2 linked regions of the Drosophila melanogaster genome follow. Changing the gene in region 1 together with any one later gene gives a genetic interaction. Each region holds a gene or a part of one and is shown on either strand. Other genes may lie near its edges. The genes, in order: Xport-A and trpl.

Evidence for each region.
Region 2: of Xport-A (region 1) and trpl, changing one enhances a phenotype caused by changing the other (phenotypic enhancement), as found in Drosophila melanogaster (2 studies listed by BioGRID).

What each region holds. Positions count from the first base shown.
Region 1 is NT_033777.3:19,913,786-19,917,303, forward strand, and holds Xport-A (exit protein of rhodopsin and TRP A), read right to left. Parts: upstream 1,628-3,518; 5' UTR 1,510-1,627; coding exon 1,296-1,509; exon of another isoform or gene 1,292-1,295; intron 1,228-1,291; coding exon 1,091-1,227; 3' UTR 1,040-1,090; coding exon of another isoform or gene 698-1,039; 3' UTR 611-697; downstream 1-610. Other genes in the region: Xport-B (exit protein of rhodopsin and TRP B), read right to left, coding at 698-1,039; CG4465 (uncharacterized protein), read right to left, coding at 2,205-3,205, 3,261-3,518.
Region 2 is NT_033778.4:9,751,595-9,756,727, forward strand, and holds the start of trpl (transient receptor potential-like), read left to right. Parts: upstream 1-2,102; 5' UTR 2,103-2,245; exon of another isoform or gene 2,246-2,383; intron 2,384-4,019; 5' UTR 4,020-4,135; coding exon 4,136-4,165; intron 4,166-4,443; coding exon 4,444-4,589; intron 4,590-4,698; exon of another isoform or gene 4,699-5,133. UniProt on the Drosophila melanogaster protein: A light-sensitive calcium channel that is required for inositide-mediated Ca(2+) entry in the retina during phospholipase C (PLC)-mediated phototransduction. Required for vision in the dark and in dim light. Binds calmodulin.

The sequences.
Region 1 (3,518 bases):
GGCATTTGTCTTTGTATTTTATTGTTTGTGAAGTTAATTTTACGAAATTGGCTAAAGAGTGGGTGCGCGTAGTGTATGTTAGAATGTGGATCTCTTATGAAATTGGTAATACCTAGCTCTTAATCACATACTGACCTCCTTAAATCAAATGATACTTAAGATATCTTCAGCTTTGTGGTATCTTCAAAACTCTACACTTTGTGCCACAAAACGAATACCTGAACACAAGCGATTTGTAGACAGCACTTATTATAAACCAAATGGCATAACTTCCAAGTCAAATACCTAACTACTTTATATCTCCATATAACTATTTTTCACGAGATGCTTCAGATGCAAACTAGCAATGACCAGATCTGGATTGAATAGAGCTTACTTACAGACCAAATCGATATATATTCCATGATATTTATAGAGATTAGTATGTTTATAAAGTTTTGTGAATAGGTTAGTAAGTGAGCTAATGCTGGAGACACACGAATATATTCTGCAAACATTTAAATAAAAAAGCTGAAAACCACAAGTTGGATAAATATTTCTATTGTTGTTCATAATGGTGGGATACAATGTAGAATTCGAATGTAGAGAGCAAGACAATTAAGTATGCAATACGGTTAGTAAGATATTTTATTCTACGAAACTCATATAAAACACACTAAGTATAATTGATACCATATATAATTAATTATAGGATGGGCTATCTTATGTTGCTCGTAACTAGGCAAACATCGAATGGTGGTAGAGTGCCGGTAATCTCCAAGAATCGTCGAAGGATGTGGCAATAGGTGTTTCCCATGGGCGGAGATTCAGTTCCTTCCGCCGGAATTCTAGCCACCTCGTCCGGAGTGTCCAGCTCCCTAACATAATCCATAAAGTTGTCCACATTGATGGGTGTCTCTGCCCTCGTCTTTGCTGGTTCCGTCTGCAACTTTCGCTGGAACTCACTTCTGTAGTAGTCGTTGATCATGGACATCATCCCCTTGGAATACCAGTAGATGATGCCAATCAAGAATAGGCCCTGCATGAATGGACCGACCATATTGTATGCTTCCACTTGATTTACTTATTTGTTCGATAGATCCTTTGGTTTCTACTGCTGATGCTCCTCGCGGAAGCTTTCAAGCCATTGATTAACCATGTAGAATTGCTCCTTGATGTGCGGCCAGGCCATGGTGACAATTAGCATTATGGTATTGGCGAAGACAAAGAGTTTCATCATTTCAAATGCTATTGGAAAGGGGTAATATTTATTAGTTAAATGAACTATATATTTTTAAGGAGCGAAAATTACAGACCCTCCGGAGTGCGAAGATAGTCGCCGAAGCCGGAATTTAGATCCTTGTCATCCTTCTCGTCCACCTTCTGCTCATGCTTATGCTTATCCTTCTCGTCTCGGCTCTTGCCCTTACCACCACCCTCGACTTTATCCTTGCCAGAGTGTCCTTTACCGTGCTTGTTCCTGCCGTATCCCGTGGATGAATTGGCAAAGGCCGATTTCTTCGGCTTCATTGCATCCAGATAGCAGCAGTTGGTCGGTCAGCCTGCACAGCACTGCATTTGATTGGAGTTGGTCCTGGAAGTGCTCTCCGCCTGGTGCTTCCTCGCCAACTGCTGCTCCGCAAATGACACAAACTTTGTGGTGCCAATTGGCGTGGCGCCGCTTCTGGCAATTTTATGGTTTCCATTTTATTGATTTGCGATTTCTGCTTGTCGCTCTGGCTGGGTGGGAATGGTGGGACAGGTGACCAAATAGAAATATGTTGTTAGTGGAGCAATGCGCTTGGATATTTAGCCGGGCATGTGTACTTATTATACCAGTCACACGAAATGTGTGTCAACTTGGTGGATGAAGGTGGTCGCCGGTAGGGTTGGTGTTTGTGGGTTTACATTGGTCCCAAATGGCTCTGGTTCCTGAAAGCTTATTTAAATATCATGCAAACCAGTTTTAATTTATTTAATGCCTTATTCTGCCAAATAGTTTATAATAGTTTTGCATTGATCTAATGTAAGCTTTACATTTTAAACAAACTACGTGTAGATGCCGAACTTTTGATTTATTCCCAAAAGTATGCAACCCAATATACATATTCGATTCGCGATAAGCGAATGTTTAATGAGCTAAATTCGAATACTGTTCGCGAATACTTGACACACACTACAACTAACTTATCAAATACGCCCAGACATATATTAAGTATACGTTATTACGTGAACGCAATAAGTTGCTGTCCCTTGTTTACCACAGCTCCGACCGGTGGCTGCTCCTTGTCCCGCGTGACCAGGCAACATGTGCCAAGGCCGCCCAGGATGACCAGCAGACAGAAGGCGGACAGGGAGAGGGCGGGGCTCACCTGCCTGAGCAGCGTGAGAAAAGAGGCGGAGAGCTGCCACACCCGCGCCCACGTGACGGCGGAGAAGGAGAGGCAACTACGCTGCTCCATTGGCACCAGTTCGCCCAGGCAGGCCAAAATCATGGACTGGGCGCAGGCTACGGCCGCCTGGGGAAGTGATGCCATTAGCAAGCCCAGCGTCAGTCCATACACCTCGGGCATATCCTCCTCGGCCAGGAACCAACAGATGCTACCGATGCAACCGACCACGATGGCAAATCCCCCCGCCCACTGCCACTTGCGTTCACTCAGGTTGAAGGTCAGGTGTAGGGCCAGGAAGCAGCCAAGCATCTCGGCCAGGCCCATGGCCAGTGTGTTGGACACCAGGTGCTCCCTGCCAAAGGACCGCACATGGAGCAGCAGCCCAGTGTTGACCACCATGAAGGTGGCAAGTGCCATGTGCACGGCCACCAAGTGGAAAGTACTCCTACGCTGGCCCATCCACAAGTGCATCCAATGCACGGCGGGCATTGGCTCCAGCATCCTTTCTCTCAGCTCCTCCAACTGCTGGGGTAACTCCTTGGACACTTTGTGCATTCTACCATTGGTACGGGCTGCTTCCAGCAGGATACCCACCGTTCGCTCGATGGCCAGTTGAGCTTCCTTGGTGTGTTGCAGCTGCCAGCGCGGTGAGTCCGGAGTCCAGGGTAGCAGAAAGACAATCACCAGCAAGGAAAGAGTTACGCCCAAGTATATGTGCTGCCAGCTGGGAGCATTGGAGGCCAAGCCAGGGAGCAGAATCAAGCCCAGAGCCCAGAAGCAGTCGTAAAGTATGAGGGTTCCTACGCGATATTTTCCCGCTGTTATGTCACCAACTGAAAAGTAGGTTATTTAATATTAAAGTATTCTTAAATATTCAATTTTACTTACATATATACTGCCCCGAGGTGATCATAAAACAGCACGAAACAGCAGCCAGGCATCGGAGTCCACAGTGCAGACTGAAGTCTTTGACAAGACCCATCAGTAGGCTGCACATGAGCAGGCACCAGATGCCAGTTCTATAAATCTGTCGGGGACTCAGGACCCGCATCAACTTGGTGGCCGCCACGCCACCGATTAGGAGGCCAAAGAGGTGCCAGTACTGAGACCAGGCCACAAAGAAGTCGCACAGACACACCAAATCGA
Region 2 (5,133 bases), on another chromosome or scaffold:
AAATCTCATCAACGAGCTGCAGCGAAACGAGGAGAAATATTGAATGCAATTTTATTTGCCACACACGCAAAGTGTGTGTGCAGCGCGGCAGCAAAGCAACAAACCGTTTGGCGAACTGCCGGGTGAATTATGGAAATGCATCATATTATTCCGCAGCTCCTGCTCCTTGGCCAGGATCGCCTCCTGCAGGATAACCTGCTGCAGGATAACCTGCTGCGAAATGTGTGAGGGCGTGCGTGTAACTATGCTACTTACTGTCTGTTTGCTTCTGGGACTGCCATCGCCAGACACACTCAGATCCACTGGAAAGTATTAGGAAAAGCTGTGAAGCTCAACAGAAAGATATAGAATTATGTTTAATTGCACTGGAAAATATTAGGAAAAGCTGAAAAGATCTACAGAAAAATAAAGGAAACTTGTTACCAATTGATTTATACTTTTTTGAGTTGCTGTTCTCCATTATTTATTTGCAGATTTAGATAGCACACAAACTTAGATGTCTTCGAAGTAATAAATTCATACTTAATTTATGTATTATTTATTATAAAATAGTTTATTTGTTAAGTGATTTTCAAAAATTTCGAGTGTATTACTAAAAGCCACGTGGCCAAAACAAGAAGATATAGCACAAAAAAAAGACAGGGGAAGTGCCAGATATATCGCAACGCGGCCAGAGAATCGGGAGATTGGAGCCAGGACGAACCTTAAAGGATGCTTTTACTCCGAACTGGAGCTCTTCGCCCACCGCATGCAGCTTGATAAAAGACGCAGTCATGGTAACCCACCTGCCACACCCGCCTCCTGCTCCTGCTCCACTCTTTTCCGCCCGAAAACCTCATCTGGTGTTTGTTTGTTTGTTTGGCTTCGCCTGTTTACGTGCAGTCATGCGAAGCTCCGGCCCAAACCTCGACTTTTCAGCTGATGCTGGAATCTGCTTCAATTGTTGTCTGTCGCCAAAGGATTCCCCTCATCCCTGCCCTCCTCGGCAGCCCAACAACCCGCTATGCTCCATCTCATCAAAATCCATTTTAAGATTTTTGATTTAATTCCGCCTTTGTTTGGCAAGTTGGTTACTGCTCATGCCCTCTGTGTATCTAGAGTTTAGATTTGCCTGGGCAAATTTGTTTATGCCCGTCAAAAGGCTGACTCTGCCGGAGACATATGAACATGTGAAGGACCCTCTTGGACTGTCTAGCAGTTCGTTGTATCCCAATTGAAGTGGAGCAGCCAGTGGAACCAGGAACCCTTTTCAATAGCAAGTTGAAAATGAAACAAACTATTGAAATAACACAATCATAGGCTCTTTAGGTTTACTTGAAATCAGTTTAATGGGTATCAGCATTTGAAAAAATTCGGTACAAGTGAAAAATTAATTAATTGAATTCAAACAATTACAAGTATTATGCTGCGTTACGATGAAATAATTGCAATATAAAAAAATTAGGCAATGAAAACACTAGTAGTAGATTTCAGATTTATAGCAAGTGTATAATGGTAGAAGGAGCAGTAGATTTATATGCAAGATGTTTCGAGTCGCAGCTATTAACATATATTGAAAACAGCAGCTAATCAATGTCAATCGAACTGCAGGCTAAACTGAAATTTTCCAAATCAAATTACGCACGCTGCATTGGGCAGCACGAAAGTATCCGCAAATGTGCAGCAGTTTGTGGCCGGAAAAGAGCCCGAAGAGCAAGTGGCAAACAATAGCTGTAGCAACCCAAATCAAATCATGGCAAATTAGTTGTAATTCAATTGCCGACAGTCGCCGTCTGGATCGTGGCCCCCACCTCCACCACCAGTCCCACCTCAGCACCAGCCCCTACATATGTTTGGGTCCTAATCCCCTTAGGCGAACTTGGCGAAAACTTGTTGATACTGTGTTTCAGCCCTCGACCTCCACAATTCATAACACCACAAACGTATATATAAACCTATAGAAATATATATATATATATATGTGTGGATAAATGTTGCACGGACAACCTCCAGGCGTATCCATGCGATGGGTGACAAATATTTGACGTTTTAGTCTAATTAAATTAGCCACATCGCCGCTCGGCCCTCGGGAAAGGTATAAATTTCTGCGCGTTAGTAGCAGCGTGTAAATTTCGCAGGTGGCACACGTTCGGGCTGCGTCGCGGGTTGTCTCTCGGCGGGTTTTCGCCTTCAAAAGAGCTGAAATTCAGATATACATAAACTACAACACACATTGTACGGGAATTCGGGAGTTCGGTGGCCAAACGTATTGTTATAAAGTATATGCCAGCATACAATTCATAGTCGCAGTCCTCTCACCTAAGCCGGTCACATGAAATTCCAACGTCCATTGTGCCAGCGAGTCGAACAATTGCACACGTTTTTATGTGCCGGAATGCAAGAAGTACGTATCCGTACGCTTGGTTATAAGTGGCTTAAGTGCAGTCCGTGAGCCAACTGAATTACGTGGCTATATCCTTCATTCATTGTGCTCCTGGTTGCTCCTGACTGCTCCTGGTTGCTCCTGGCAGCTGCAGGTTGCTCCTACCTCTTCCGTTGATTGTCAAGTTGGGGCTGTGTGTGCGGAGCTTGTGGTCTGTGACTGCTGGAGTTTCGATTCAACTGGCTGCCATCGCGATAAGCCCTTCGTTTTTATGAACTCTGTAAAATACTCAAAATTTGTTCTAGTTTTAATGAACTCCAGTGCGCTTGCGACAAAATTATGATACTTCGATCGGTGCCAGGCAGAATTAACACATCTCGGCTGCAGAGGGAGAAATTAGAGTGAAATATCATATGCATTTTACATCGTATGTTAACCGAATAGTTTATACTTGTTATAATATATACAGGTGCAGATATAATCCCATTTCGATGGGCAGTCGCAGTATGCACCTGCTGTGCAGGTGAACAGCTATAAATCCATTTATAAACGCTTCCCATGAAGTGGCGGATAAAACCGAATTTATTGCGACATTTTTATGTCCGTCCGCATTTTCGCCCGTCCTCCGCACTTATATTTCTATTAAGTTAATTAAACAATGCACCATCGGGGCTCCTGGGGTAGTCAGAACCACCTTTTGTTGGTACCGGAAGTGTTTTTTATGGAACAACCGCCATGATGATGGTTCCGAGTTTTTGCCTGCCGCGCATACAAAGCACTTGCATTTTTTATGACCAGCCCAAACACTTTTAAATGCATCTGCAGCATCCGCATCCATATCCGCATGCAGATCCGCATCCGCAGGAGCATAAAGCCAGTTTAAAGCAAAAGCATGTAGACGGAATGCATTTTTTCTTTGCGGATTATCGAAAAAAGCTCCTTAAATATTCATTTTGGCATTGTGTTCACACATGCGGAGGAAGGCAGCGGAAAATAAAAATATTTTCATCGGGTGTGGGAAAATATTGGGAAACAAAGAAATTAATTCTAATGGGAGAAACGATTGGCGATGATGTGAACAATCCAATGAGAGCAGCAACAACTAATACAAACTGCAGTTCGTTGCTAATGAGATGAGTGCAATAAAAATGTAAATCAAAACAGAAAGCCGATTGAACAATTGGTCATAAGTGGTGCAATAAGTGCTCGCGAATTTGGTGTTCAGTGTGGCCTTTGGAATTGACCAGTAACAGTCGGGAAACAGTGAAACTGCACAGTGTCTAATCAACTCACTAAATTGGCAAAACTTAAATCTTGCCCATGCAGATGGCACTTAAAAAGGGTTTAGCCAGCTCGGTCAGTGGCGGAAATAAAAAGAAAAACATTATAAACAGCTTAAATAGAAACTTTTTGCACGCCGGAAACCAGAAACCATAAACCAAGTCAAAAACCACCAGACACACACACACACACACCAACACACACAAGCACACCCAGTTGGACATATAACTATGGACTATACAACTATGAGTACAAAAGCAAAATCAACTTGAAAGTTGCATGTGGCCCGGCTTAGTATTGGACTTTTTTGGCTTTGCCATTGTGTATATAAATATATATGCCATATATGTAAATATCGTTCACTTTTCACTGCAAGTGTGCAAAGCCCTGCGACATGAAGTCGGATTTTGAACTCTGAACCCTGGACTTGGTACATGGAATACTAGTTACGAACTGCTGGCGTTCGGTTAAGTGAAGTGCACTAACTCTAGAATGGGTCGCAAAAAGAAGCTGCCGACGGGCGTAAGTAGAAACCCATCCAGGATCCCGATCCAGATCCGTATCCAGCAAGTAGCATGTCTTAAAGCCGCCAGTATTAGCTAAACGCCGCTTACCTTAAACGCCTCCAATGCCATTTAGATGGAAGCCAGACAATCAGCCCAGCATCCTCCACTTTGCACTTAATTTTCTTGTATGTTTATTTTTTATTTATTTGCAATTCCGCATACACGATTTCCCCCTCGCCACATCGGCATGTACGTATGTGGCTCCTGCTCACCTGTCTCTTTAAATTATGCCAGGTATCGTCTGGCGTCAGCCACGCCTCCTCCGCCCCCAAATCGGTGGGCGGGTGCTGTGTGCCGCTGGGATTACCACAGCCTCTGCTGCTCGAGGAGAAGAAGTTCCTGCTGGCTGTCGAGCGCGGCGATATGCCGAATGTGCGCAGGTGAGTAGCGCTTTTCACGCCTCCGATGCCCAGCAGGGAGGGGGGGGGGGTGGGTGGTGTTTCTGTATGGCATCTTGGGCGGGAGGGATACACTGCAAGAAACTCTTACCACAATCAGGTGTTGGATGAGCATTAGTATTCAAAGTTAATGTACAAGCTTAGCTAATGAATGTATCAATCGAGTAGAACCTAATGTATATTGATATATTTAGCCTTCAATTTAAAAGAAATAGTTAAACACACTACCACATTTATCCGAGTGTAGGGTGTTCGAATAAAAACCCTGACATTTTTAGAGGGGTATCACGAGCTCCAATGGTGGCTTCGCCCAGGGTAACACAGGTGTTGACTGGGCTGGGTCGCACAGGTACCATAAATCCCATCGGGAGCCTCCTTGGGTTCTTTGGATGCGGTGCTGGTGGTGGGTTCAATTATTTGCACACTCGTCTGCCGCGGGCCTCAAAATGGTTACCTAACTGGCATCCCGGCAGCCACTTAATAAGCAATATGAGGCCTTCGACCCGGATACTTTACGCTCGTTTAC